2 linked regions of the Daphnia pulex genome follow. The protein of the gene in region 1 purifies or fractionates together with the protein of each later gene. This does not show direct contact. Links are inferred from orthologs where the notes say so. Each region holds a gene or a part of one and is shown on either strand. Other genes may lie near its edges.

What was found.
Region 2: the proteins of drebrin-like protein B (region 1) and neuralized-like protein 4 purify together in Homo sapiens (co-immunoprecipitation; 4 studies listed by BioGRID and IntAct, counting the BioPlex papers as one, with this or other methods). This does not show direct contact. The link is inferred for Daphnia pulex from reciprocal best matches to the Homo sapiens genes DBNL and NEURL4.

What each region holds. Positions count from the first base shown.
Region 1 is NC_060020.1:4,128,302-4,135,222, forward strand, and holds drebrin-like protein B, read left to right. Parts: upstream 1-2,354; 5' UTR 2,355-2,680; exon of another isoform or gene 2,681-2,815; intron 2,816-2,946; 5' UTR 2,947-2,987; coding exon 2,988-3,126; intron 3,127-3,237; coding exon 3,238-3,350; intron 3,351-3,437; coding exon 3,438-3,653; intron 3,654-3,721; coding exon 3,722-3,886; intron 3,887-3,958; coding exon 3,959-4,793; intron 4,794-4,858; coding exon 4,859-4,924; intron 4,925-4,986; coding exon 4,987-5,060; 3' UTR 5,061-5,395; downstream 5,396-6,921. Other genes in the region: ribonuclease 3-like, read right to left, coding at 1-176; uncharacterized protein LOC124193009, read left to right, coding at 5,806-6,665, 6,730-6,921. UniProt on the Homo sapiens protein: Adapter protein that binds F-actin and DNM1, and thereby plays a role in receptor-mediated endocytosis.
Region 2 is NC_060025.1:7,232,704-7,239,566, forward strand, and holds the start of neuralized-like protein 4, read left to right. Parts: upstream 1-2,756; 5' UTR 2,757-2,795; coding exon 2,796-3,002; intron 3,003-3,090; coding exon 3,091-3,198; intron 3,199-3,255; coding exon 3,256-3,369; intron 3,370-3,436; coding exon 3,437-3,593; intron 3,594-3,654; coding exon 3,655-3,843; intron 3,844-3,916; coding exon 3,917-4,080; intron 4,081-4,159; coding exon 4,160-4,385; intron 4,386-4,457; coding exon 4,458-5,494; intron 5,495-5,561; coding exon 5,562-6,341; intron 6,342-6,416; coding exon 6,417-6,698; intron 6,699-6,768; coding exon 6,769-6,863. UniProt on the Homo sapiens protein: Promotes CCP110 ubiquitination and proteasome-dependent degradation. By counteracting accumulation of CP110, maintains normal centriolar homeostasis and preventing formation of ectopic microtubular organizing centers.

The sequences.
Region 1 (6,921 bases):
GGTGGTGGTGGTGGGTATATCCCATAAGGTATAGGGGGTGGAAAATTCATTTCATGGAATGGGGGAGGAGGAAAACTATATTGCATTGCATGAGGGAAATTGTTGGGCTGAGGCTGAGCATATTGGTATCCATAATACAATGGAAACGGTGGTTGCTGGTTATTGTGACCATCCATCTATAAGAAGAAAGAAGGGCATTCAAAATCAAATAAAAAATAACATTGATTGCTGAAAACTCACATTAAAAATCTTTTTGTTTTGTTGGTCAAACAACAATGAGACTGTCACGTTTGTTGGGTCTGACAACCCCTGACAACCTTTACAAAGTAAAAGCTGGATGTAAGTTAGCGAGAATTTCTACAGGCTTCATTTCTAAAACATCGACGTATTATTAATAGGATTAATAGGAGAATCGAAACAAATTGCTGATTCTGTTGGACTTCTTGAATTCTAGCTTTTGTACCGTTAGCTTGTATACCGAGTTAAGTTAATACTAGGTGACACACGTTGAAAGAAAAAAAAACATTCAAGAAATGTGTTTCACAAATTTAGAAAATGAGGCCGGTTAACTTACTCCAAATTCCGCCTCGACTTTCGCTGAGATACAATTAAAGGCCCTAACACTGATCCACAACTCCTAAGAGTACAGACATACAGCGCTCCTTGTGGTGTGTCTGAATACTACAGTGAGGCTGTGTGAGCTAAATTGAAAGAAAGAGTGAAAGACCCATCAACAATCGAGCGTGAGGCTATTCTTTTTAATACTATTTTAAATCCTAAGAAAACTCAAAGGTCAGTTATGTTACGCTCGTTTATTTAAAAAAAAGGTTGCGCCATAGTACCAAATTTCCTCACAAGCAAATTGCACTTATTTGTCGTTGGTCGTTTAATTAAGATTAAGATTACCTATAACGCTCCAGAACATATAGTAGTCGTAATTACACTTGTTTTTTTTTAGGGGAATCCCTTGATAATTCGATATGTTATTGCCTTATTGGTCATCAGTGCGCTCATGTGCGTTTGCAACTGATCGCTGATATACAGTAACTATATTATATTTCTTCATCATATTGATTATTGGAATTCTCTGTCGCGAGTGTCTCTTGTAGTTTCATCAACTGGATGATCAAATTTCACATGCTCTGCTCAGACGGAAGCGGACGGAAGCATTATCTAAAATCGTCATTTCCCTTTGATCCAATAGACATCGATCCAATAGGAACCATGCGTTTCGATTATATTGACTGAATGTATTGTCCTTTGCTCTCGTCGATCTCCCAATCGATGATGCTGTATCATTCATGTATTGTTTAGACTCAATGTATGTAGAATGGATAGTATTGGGGACACACTCTCCTCCAAACTATTGGTATTGTACGAACTTGCCGCACGCCATCGATTTTGCAAACCCAAGATCAAAAGTTGAGGGTGATGAAGCAAAATAAGGCCAGCTCTTCTCGGTCCTTATCCGACCACACTGAGTTGTATTGATTGCTTGGGAGAAGGCAAGTATCTTTTTTTTCTAGAAACGTCCAACTTTTTAAGCAAACAAGGATTTGTGTAAAGTTGCTAAGGACGACGTTCACAGCAAGATAAGGGAAATATGGCGTCGGAATCGACCTCTCCTTGCAAAGAAACCATTTTGATTTTTTTGTTACCAAACTTCTCATTTGAGTCATTTCTATCTAGAGCAATTAGCTTAATGGTATACCTCATTAATTACCTACAATTAATTTCTAGACACTAATCTTCTTGTGATGCAAACTGGGAAATTGCTAATATCTCACGTTAACATCGCCATTTTCCAGGAAATCTACTGAGATGCATGTAAACCATATCAAATCATTTTAAAAGGATGGTGGCGACTGGTGGCCACTTTATCACATTTGAAAGAAGAATTCTTTATTTTTTATCTTCCCCTAGGGTGAGTCGTGTTCAAACAATTATTCCAACAGTGTTCTCCCATTCATTGTGAGTACAGTGACAGGAATAATGTCCCTCGAGCGATATACCATGAAGATAAGCGAAGCTAGTATTCGGAAAACGTATATACTTAATATCTGCATTGTCACATAACTGTGAAATATTGTCGGTCAACTCTTTTAAATTTTAAGTAGTTTACTGAAATCAATCTTAATATTTTTTCGTTCAACAACTTGATTATGCAGTGAATAAAGCCTTACTACGCTCCACTAATCCTGTTGGAATAGCGTGAGATATTTTGCTGAGAGATGAATTTGGTGAAGCGGTGCAAATTTTTTGAAAAAGCTTTTAGAATAAACCCCCAAAATTCCGTTCGTCTTTCTCCTTTAATGCTCTAAGGAATAAGTGAACTTGATTGTTGAATAGATGCGCGCGCGCTGCTGTGTTGTGCAACTAGAATTTCCAGCTTCTTTTTCGCATGACAGATTATTTCCATGAATTCTGAAACTGAAAATGCCCCGCTCCCGCTCCGCTCTGCCCGCCCCAGTCACAGTCCGTCAGGCCACTAAGCCAGATGAGAAGAGAGTTCGCCGTCTCCTCTGAAAATCCACTCGCATAAACGTCAAAGCAATTACAAAGGAGAAGGAAGGTTGCTGTGATTTCTTCAGCAGGTGACAATTAGCCAACAATTTGTGATAGTTATATTTCGTTGGGAAGCCACTACGTTTCTGCTGGATTTGACGTCTTTGAGGAAAATGTGAGTGGAATATTTCTGTTATCTCGTTCAGAACACGTCATTATGCTATCGTCACGATATTGAGATTAGTTCGAGGTTTTATGGTGATGCATTAAGGCCGGCTCTTTCTTCTTTAATCGAGTGAAACATTCCTTTGTAAGTTAGCAGCTTGGGCGGCTACCAAAATATTATTCCTCGTAGAATTTTAATTTCACAACATTTTTTCTTATTAGAGTTGTAAAATGGAGTTTTATAACTTATTGTTTTGATTTTTTTGTACATTTCAGTGTTGTTCTAAGTGAAACACAACAAATAAATCTGCTTGGAAATGGCACTTAACCTAGTCAAGTATCAGGATGAAATGCTTAAAGCCTGGAAAGAAGTTGTTGACGATAAGAATCCAACAGATTGGGCATTATTTACCTACGAAGGACAGTCTTATGACCTGAAACTTGTTGGAAAAGGAGGTAATGTGCAGTTATGATCACCATTTATTATTTTTCTATGCATAGAATTAACATGTTTGAATCCTATTGGAACTTTAATCAGCATACTTATAATTATAATAATTTATTTAGATGGTGGTATCACAGAACTGGCAGAAGACTTGAACAGCTGTAAAATAATGTATGCATTCTGCAGGGTGAAAGACCCAAAAACAAGTCTTCCCAAATATGTCCTCATCAACTGGGTATTTCTTGTTTATACTTGTCTTTTCACTATAACTCCATTTTGCCATTGTTTAACTATCTCGGTTTTTTTTTTTTGTATTTTTTAGCAAGGTGAGAGTGCTCCTGGTATCCGTAAAGGAACTTGCACCAATCATTTAGGACCCATTCAAAAGTTCTTTAAAGGAATTCACATCACGGTAAATGCGCGAACTGAAGACGAGGTTGATGAAGAAGCAATCGTAGACAAAGTGGCCAAATCTACAGGGTCGATTTATAATTTTAGTCGTTTGGATTCCAGAGAGGATGAACCAACTGGCCCTGTGGTATGTCAAGATTATAATTAAATATTTTTTTAGTTGATGAATGACATTTTTTCATTACAAATATTCAGGGAACTATTTACAAAAGAGTAAATCCCACACAAGAGATAGATGCAAAAGCTCGTGATAGCTTTTGGGCACAGGAAGAAGAAGAAGAGAAAAAACGCCAATTGGAGGAACAGCGACGAAAAGAGGAAGAGTCTAAGCGTCGTGAAGAAGAATTAAAGAAAAGAGAAGTATGTCACACATTAGACGTCTTTTTTTGCATACTCGAAGACAAATTTGATTTAAATATTTCTGCAATCCAGATGGAAGGTAGTCGTGCTCGAGAGAATCAGGTGTTAGCTCGAATGCGAAGTATTTCCGAGCTACGACAGGCGGAAGAAAAAGCCAGTATTTCCTCAGAGGAGGCTGAAAAAGCTAAATGGGCCAAACAGAAACAAGATGACGATAAAGATGATGAAGAAAGACGAATGCGTAGTGAAATTCTACGCCGACAGAGAAATAACGAGGCTCAGTCTCTGATTAAACAGCGCAGCATTGACGCAAAAGCTATCTTTGAACAAAATACTTCTGCTGGTCAGCTTTCAATATCAAGAAGAAGCAGCAGTTCCAATGTGTCATCCCCAAGCCCAACCCCGAGTGCTCCGAACAAAGTTGGTGCTAAATGGCCACCATCCCCTAATTCTGTATCTCCGTCTCCTGTTTCCCCATCACCCGCCTCTCCTACCCCTAATGTTGTCCGCCAAACTTCGATTCAAACTAACTTTTATGCTAATAATTCCTCGAATGGCCATTCTTCTTCCATATCGTCACCACCGCCACCAATGAAGAACGAATGGATCTTTGAAACGCCTACACCAGCCGTTATTGTCCCACCAGCACCCGAATTTGCCGATGCTCCCCCTGAATTACCCTCATCACCTCCGCCCACTGAGCAGCTCGAAACGGCCCCTATTTCACCTATTGCAGCTATGCTTGACGATGCCAATCAAGATTACGAAGATGTTAATGACGAAGAAGAACAAGAATGGGAATCGCCTCCTCAAGAGATTGTGAAACAAGTTCAGGCAGATAATTTCATTGATAATGAAGTCAATGGTTTCGGTATAAGAGCCCGGGCCCTTTACGATTATCAAGCAGGTAATATCATTGTAAAGTACGTGCTCTTTAGGAATGTATAATGATTTAATATTTGTAACTGATAGGTGAGCCTGGAGAAATATCTTTTGACCCTGGAGATATTATAACCAATATTGATCAAATTGATGAAGGTAAGCATTACTGGATTTCATTTAAACGTTTCTCCAGTTAATTAATTTTTCTTGTGTTGTAGGTTGGTGGCAAGGAGTTGGTCCGGACGGGACCTATGGTCTTTTTCCAGCTAATTATGTAGAATTGATTGAATGAAAAAACTTGGGAGCATGTCAATATTTTTTGTTGATTTCGATCCCCCGAATTTTCCTTCACTTGGGACAGCACAAAAAAAAAATCTATATCCTTTAAAACTGAAACATTCTCTATCCATCCTACTATGGTTAACACGCACAGACATTTCCGCGCTGACTAACTTAGCGAACCCTAATCGTCCTTTTTTTTCTTGAATTTTTACTTGCTTTTTAAAATGTTTACTTACACAAAAAGCTCAACTACTTACGAATGCCTGGATCTTCCGACTTTCCACCTATTTCATCCATTATTAAAACGAGCAAACTGTGCAATACAAGGTACTTACATGAAGTTAATATAGTTGTTTAATTTATTTATTTTTACGAATTTCTTTTTATCACAAAGATTTCTTTTTATCTCAAAGATCGATTTTATTTGTGCTTTACCTCCCCCTACCCGTATAAGTTTCAGGAGTTTTACTCGCGGATTAACTATTTACTTACCCTCTCCCCCACGTAGACCTATTTGGGTTGGACAACAAACTCGCAACAGGTCCCCATTTTATGAGTTTGAACAAAAAAAAACCCAAAAAAACGTGCCAGTAGGGGGCGAAAACGTTGCGGACAAAGGGGTATAGCAGCCGACAAAATGGCGATTTTCTTATGGTCTCCGAGCGCCTTTTGCGAGTTTTAGTTATGCTCTTCTAGTTGTGTGTTTATGAGGCGTCATGAATAGCCACGTATAAACATTTATTAGTGTTTTAAAAATGGAGTCATCAGCCTCTAACAGCTATCGGCGTCCCGATTCCCGTGCCAGCTTAAATTCAAATAATGAAACTCTTTTGACAAATGAATTTCCTGGATGGGGGGAAATGCCAGATGAAGTGGTCGAACGCTTTGAATCCTCACTACCAATGGTTCATATTGACTTGAGTGCGATTCCCGAGAAATTCCACGCAAAGGCGAAAGAACAAGTACTTGGCAACTGCTATGTGAAAATTCGTGACCTAGCAATCCTAGTAAATAGTAGTAAAGACACTAATGAGCGCAAGGCTGTGAAGCGTCCAAGGGATGACAGCTTATCAAGAAACAACGAAAGATTTACAACTGCAAGAATTTCAACTCAAGGACAACATTGGAAATTACCAAAAAAGAAATCCAAGGCATTAAAAACCCCCGAAAGTTATAATGTTAGGAATGTTAGTGAAACAAGGCTTGTTGTTCAAAAAAAATTAATTCAATATGAGTTGCCACAATGCACTCCACTTCGCCCTGATGTGGAGTACGAGGAGACTGACACAGATCCTATTGCTGGACCTTCTCATATCTACCACAACCATTATGTTACCAGCAGTGTTCCAACAGTCTTTCCAAGGAAGAACCACCCAATTCTACAGAATGTTTCAAAAGTTCATGGTGAATCAGTCATGCAACCTGAGTTGAATACCAAATCCAAGAGTGTTAAGCATTCCAAACGGTGTGTGAATGTTGGCACTCAGACTGAGCCTCAACCTCAACCTGCCTCAACTCAACCTCAAATCGAGTTCTTACATCGACGCATCAGTGAGCTGGAATTGATGATGGCTTCAAACCGTTCATTCCAAACTCCATCGCCACTTTCGCAAAAGTAATGCGAAAAATTTATTTTAAAACCAGTTTTTTTAAATAAAATTTTATTTCTTTGTTTTTAGAAATCAAGATGACGCTGCCTCAGCTTTATCAACCCCACCAAACTCCGACTCTGGTTCTTGTAATGGTCGCGTCGAAAAGATATCCGAGAGTTCAAGTTCCAAACGAAACACGACACCTACCAAGTCAGCATTCATAGTAGTAAATCGCTTGACTGACAGTGATTTACGTCAATATGGTGTTGGTCGTAATTC
Region 2 (6,863 bases), on another chromosome or scaffold:
ATAATGAAAAAATTCAAATCTAAATCTGCTGCAGGGTTCTTGTACATAACATTTATCAGTCATATTTTATTCGAGACCTCATTTAATAGTGCGCTGAGCCTTGGGCTGTTAATTTAAAAAAAATCTTACAAAGATATCCATGCTAGTTTGCTTTACACAAATTCAAATGGTTGATTTGCATATTGAAACAAAGTCAAAATTAACAACGGGATATTTAATTTGATTCGTAATGATTTTTCCTTTTAGTGAAAAACTGGAATGGAAAAAACTATCATCTTCCCTCCTGTGTGATTCAAGAAAAGAGCAAGGTTAACCAAGTGCGTGGTGGTATAGACTGCGGAGCGCCATATTCTTCAGCAGTAAAGAAAACGAAAATGAAAGGAGACAGAGATGGGCAAAGGAAATAAGGAAAAAAAAAGGTTCAGTTGAAAGCAAACGGATGTACGGCTCAGTACTCAATAATTTATTCTATTCACAACTGAAAGTCTATGCAGCTGTATATACCGTAGGCGGGTTTGTGACATGAGGTCCGGCAATTCATTAAAACGTTTTATGTGATTCGACTATAAGCAGCTAGCAGCAACAAGCCACTTAAAGTCAGTTTACATAAAAACACTTGGAAATGCTATTTCATAAAACTAATTCATCGCTTTTCTCACTTTCAACGTTTTACCTCACTCAATAGCGTAAGCTTGCTTCAAATAACACAACCTACTTGATACACGTTAGGGGCTTCTAAAGTACTTGATTTACACAAAATAGTTTTGAAATTATATTTCTCACCTCTCAAGTGACTATTATAATCTCGCTTTCTGCTGTTAAACGGACTTGAGATTGCCATCACACTAGGCAGAAATAAGATAAACGATTTTATTTTTTTCACCATTTACCTTTGTATTAGCTTTTAAAATAAGACTAATGCAGAATACACCATCAGGTAACATCACTTGAGGCAATCATTTTACCTCTGAAGAAAGTGGATTACCGGATCTTGAAAAGGCGTTGGATATCTGTTCTCAACCAAAGAGCCGTATGCCGTAAATCCGACCATTTTCAAAATATTCCCTTGTTATCCCAATATCTTGATACATACTAAAGCAACCCGAAAAATATCAGAGTCTAATTCACGCCAAACTGCCTTGATACTCACATTGCCGTTTGTGACTGGGAGAATGATTACGTGTTGACTCTCGGCTATTTGGAATGACATCGTCGAACAGCCCACCTCAGCAATCCAACAAAAAACTTGAAATTGTGGAATGATATTTGTACACTCCAAATTGGATGTAGCCGGAGCTAGAGGAGTTGTAGGCTAGTTTAACATTACAATATCAGTATTAACGTTTTAATGGACGGTTATCATATCATCCATAGTATTCTTTAAAAATATTAAGGTTATTTCAATGATAATATTAACCTTAAAAATTATGGACAGCAATTTAACGCAAGAGAATAGGCGGTTCGATCACTTAACCATCATGTGCTTTCAACTTTCAAGTTTCAAGTTTTCAACGCCTTTCGTGCATACTGCAAAGTCCTACGGTAAGGAGAACGTTTAGGAGTTAAAACAATTCCGATCGTGTTATCCACCGTGTTCATCCGCTCGCTACTCGATATGAATGTGTACAGGTATGAACACCTTATGAATAAATTTAATTGAATCTTATAGGCGCTTGAAGGGTCAAGATGAAAAATGTAAATGCTCAAGCACTAGCTTATTAATATTATTGTTATTACTGGGCAATGCCTTTAGAGTTATCTATTCTGTAGCAATTTGTTACAATGTATGTAGCTCATTTATTTGTTTCTCGGTACTATATCGATGGAGTAAATAATTACCGAAATGAACTCGTTATTAACGACTTTCGTTTGCGGTTCCGCAATCCGATACGATGCGTCCACAAGGTGCACTCTCTCCCTCTATTCATATCAACGCTGAAATAATTGTTTATATTCTGATTTAGACATACAGTAGCCGATTCTTGTAGCGTATTCCAGATTTGACTCATGAACATTGTTTGTTTAATGCATTTGATTAGTTTCTTTTTTTCATCTGATATATTCGCAATTATTTTTTGGTCATTCTGCGATTCTCAATATATCATTAATGCCACCGTCGTCTTTCCCAGCGATAATCTATTAATATTCTATGCAGCAGCATAGTCAATTCAGGAAGATTTCAACCTCTCCTAGTTCGGCGCGTTAATACTATTTCCTCTGATTAACTGGTTGAACATTAGTCTGCTCTGCCCAGAGTTTAATCTTGAAAATGAGTACTCACGCCTACACTTCATCCACTTGATATCATGATGTACACGATAAAAATCATGTTTATTTATCATAGTGGACGAATGGGGGGATGATTTCATTATCAATATATTAAAATTTAATTGCCTCTTATAGTCGTTGGCAGTGTGAAGATGAAAACGTCGTAGCTCAAGCACTGTCTTGGCAATATCGTTTTTATAACTGGAACTATGCCTTAAGAAGAATCATATCCATCGCAATGTGTTACAATGAATGTAGCTCATTTATTGGTTTCGCGAAACATACCATGGAGTAATTAATGACCGAGGTTAACTCGCTATTAGCGACTTTCGTGTGCGGTGACTTTATATACATGTGGGGAGTGCTGCAGTGCAAACAAACAAATGCATCACAAACAAACAAATGCATCACAAATTGCAGTTGGACATCCTTGTAAAAATAGCTCGCCATCTACCGACCGAATTTAAAAGTTTGCACAGTGTTGTGTTGTGACGGATTGTACGGTTTGTACCTTGCCGTTGTCAATAATGGCGGAGGAGCCGTCCAGCTGCATAATATCTTCCGTCCCGCTGCAGCAACAGTTTCACTCAATCCATGGAACTTTAGTTCAGCTATCGGAGAACGGCTTTTCAGCCTTCCGTCTCCGTCCTAGTCACGAATTCAACCAAGGGCTGGTTTTCTCCAGTCGGTCGTTAAAGGACGAGCAGGTCTTTGAAGTCCGGATCGACCGCAAGGTTTGTTATTATTAAACAAAGTGCTACTCAATTTGTTTAATCGAGAGAGAATAAAGAGTAAAAGTGCATTGTTCATTGGATTTTGCAGGTTCACTCATGGACAGGTAGTCTACAAATTGGAATTACCACACAAGATCCAGCTACCTTCCACCCCGCCCCTCCTCCAAATGCCCTAGATATTGTCAATAAATCATGGGTACATTCGTTCTTGAATAGGTAATTCAAAAAATTAAGCACTTTTTTCATGTTCCAGGTTTTGTCTGGATGCAATCTGTTTGAAAATGGTAAAATTATCGTAGAAGACTATGGCCCAAATTTGGATGAATTGAGTGAGGGAGACCGAGTTGGTGTAATGCGCACCTCAGAAGTATGTTTACCTTCTGTGCATGTTGTTTTAAATTTTGTTTTATTTTAAAATTTTTTGTTCTGTTTAGGGAGATTTGGTTTTCTATGTTAATTCATTTGCTCAAGGAGTAGCTGTCTCAGGCATCCCTCAAACTATTTATGCTGTTGTCGATCTTTATGGCAAATGTGTTCAGGTTTCTATGATTAACCATAGTGAGACTCATTCACTACCTAGGCCATTATTAAGTAAGTTGTGAATCATATTCCTTACAAAGAACCTGAAAACATTCCTTGTTGTTGTCTCCAGCTTTGAGTTCAGTTATGATGGATAGCAATCAAGTAAATCAGGAAGAAGAATCTTGTAGTACTGCGAGTACACCAAGCGGTGCACTTCAGGATCGATTGCGGTTTCATCATCGGTGTGGCACAATGGTGAAACTTTCGGCTGGACAACGAACTGGCGAACGCAGGCGACCGCTAGACGAGTTTAATAACGGTTAGTTTATCTCCCAGCCAACAGTTTTGAAATTCTAAATGTGTAGCTATCCATTTTATTTTATAATTTTCAGGCGTAGTCATGACCCAACGTCCTCTTCTACCTGACGAGCTCTTTGAGATTCGTATCGATAGTTTAGTAGACAAATGGTCTGGCTCTATCGAGGTTGGAATTACAACTCACAACCCAGCTGCTCTGGACTTTCCTTCTACTATGACCAATCTTCGCAGCGGAACGGTACTCTTTTGAAATATCCTGCATGTTAATAACTTCTGCATTCCATTTTGGTTTTAAATTCTAATGGAGTCAAATTTAGATTATGATGTCTGGCTGTGGAATCTTGACCAATGGCAAAGGGACCCGTCGTGAGTACGGCCAATGCAACTTGGACGAGTTAGGCGAAGGGGACCGGATCGGACTCATACGCAAGACAAACGGGGATCTGCATTTTTACGTCAATGGTCGTGACCAGGGCGTTGCCGCGTCCAATGTACCAAATCCTGTGTGGGGTGTTGTGGATCTCTACGGGCGGACAGTCAGAGGTAATTTCATTTACTGTTTTTACAATTTTGTCTCCGTTTGTGTTAAAAAACTATGATGAATGTTCTCAATAGTTTCACTGATTGACCGGGAAGACGCCGTTAAACCTCCAACGAATGAGGCAGAAGAAGATGCTCCTGTGGTGGTGGAACAACTGCAGTTTCATATGCGGTGCGGTCTACACGCAGCTGTTGTGAATGGTGGAACGACAGGACATCGACCGAACGCACAAAGTGACTTTAATCACGGTGTCGTGTTGACTAGCCGACCTTTGAGGCCAGACGAATTGTTCGAAGTAGTGTTGGACAAAGTGGTTCTCAAATGGGCGGGTTCCATCGAGATTGGTGTCACGACTCAACGCCCCGAGGAGCTCGACTTTCCTGCCACAATGACCAACGTCCGTTCAGGCACTTGGATGATGACCGGCAACGGCGTGATGCACAATGGACTAACTATTTTGGACGATTATGGAACTTCGCTCGACCGTCTGGGCTCGGGAGATCGGGTCGGTGTGATACGACGTTCGAATGGGGTTTTACACTTCTTCGTCAACGGCGAAGATCAAGGTCCAGCGGCCGGCAATGTTCCAGAAAAGGTTTACGGAGTCGTGGATTTGTACGGCCAAGCAGCCCAAGTATCCATCGTCTCTCCTTCCCCGGCCACTCCGCTAACTGATTCTTCTCCCTATCCGTCCTATCTCTATCCGGCACCGTCTCATCTTCTGGCCCCTTTGGTCTCTCCCACCTCTTTGGCTGACTCCACGTACGCCCTCCCCACTTCATCGTCTTCTACTTCGGCGTCGTCAACGCTCATCCACACGGATTTAAGCTTTCACAGGTTACACGGCCGCAACACAACCTTGTCTAGCAATTGCCTTACGGCGAGTAGACCCAACGCGTTGTCAGAATTCAACGATGCCATCTGCATTACATCAAGGCCCTTGAGACCGGGGGAGGTGTTTGAAGTGATGATCGAAAAACTAGTTGAAAGGTGGTCTGGATCACTTGAACTTGGCGTAACATCCATCCGTCCTGAAAATTTGGATTTCCCTTCAACAATGACGGACATCACTTACGGAACGTGGATGCTCAGCGGTTCATCAGTGATGCAGGTGAAATAGCACAAAATGACGAACTCTTTCATCTTCATTTTTATTCATATTTGTTTTGTTTTTGTAGGATGGGACCATCACTCGAAACGGTTATCCACTCGACTTGGACGCTTTACAAGAAGGGAATCGAGTTGGGTTATTGCGCCATGCTGACGGAAGTTTACACTACTACCTGAACGACCAAGATCAAGGAGCAGCATGCTGGGGCGTGCCCCAGGATCTTTATGCCGTCATTGATTTGTATGGACAGTGCGCCCAAGTGTCGCTGGTCCACAGACCCCTTCAAGTATCCGGTATACCTACTAACCAACAGGAGGGAGATGCTACTCCAATGGACTCGACCGCCAGTGAACCAAGATGCATCCAGCCGCATCGTCATCGTATCTCACCTTATTGTGGTCGGGCTGTCACTCTGTCAGACGATGGTCGAACGGCCAAACGCGAAGATAAGGATTTCGAGAATGGGCTGGTGTTCAGCTTATTGCCGCTGCAACCAGAAGAGTCGTTTGATGTGCGCATCGATACCGTGTCTCAGCGCTGGGCTGGGTCCCTTGCCGTCGGCCTCACTACTTTCCATCCGCAAGAAGGAGCCGTGATTCCTTCAAGTTTAAGTGGTCTGGAGTCTTCGTGGTACATCTCCAGTTCGAGTGTTTTCCAGTCGGGACGCAAAATTCTGGCCTCATGTCTACCCATGGAACATTTGGCCGTTGGGGATGTCGTTAGCATCCGTCGAACGGTGGAATCCACTCTTCATTTCGCTGTGAACGGCCGGGACTTGTCCGTCTGCGTTCGCAACATTCCTCATGGCGCGTACGTTGTGATGGATCTACACGGAATGATTCAGTCTGTAAGGATATTTTTCCATTCAGAAGAAAAATTGGATCTTTGGTTTTAACATTAAAATTTGATTTTTTCTCATTAGGTGAGTGTCAAAAGCATTGGAAAACTTGGGTCGTTACCGGAATCGCTTGCGACAACTCCAGCCGTTTTGGCAACCAATTCGTTACCAACGGCAGGTGGAGCTCTTCCGTTGTCACTGAGCCAGCTAGCACTGCGCGAAGCGATGCAAGGAATCCAAAGTGCGCTGAGTAGTCGCTTCGGCAGTGCATTCAGTCACCAGCAACGCTTTCACGATCATCACGGTCGCAACGTTGTCTTAAAGAATAACGGCCAGACAGCCCAGCGAACGGCCAGCTACAATCAGGTACTTTTAATTCAAAAAATGTAAAAATTGAAGCAATCTTAATAAATTGGATTTCATTTACCCTCCGTAGGGCCTGGTATATTCTAAGGATCCACTTATACCTGGAGGCTGCTTTCAAGTTAAGATTGAACAATTGGACGAACGTTGGACAGGCTCGTTGATGCT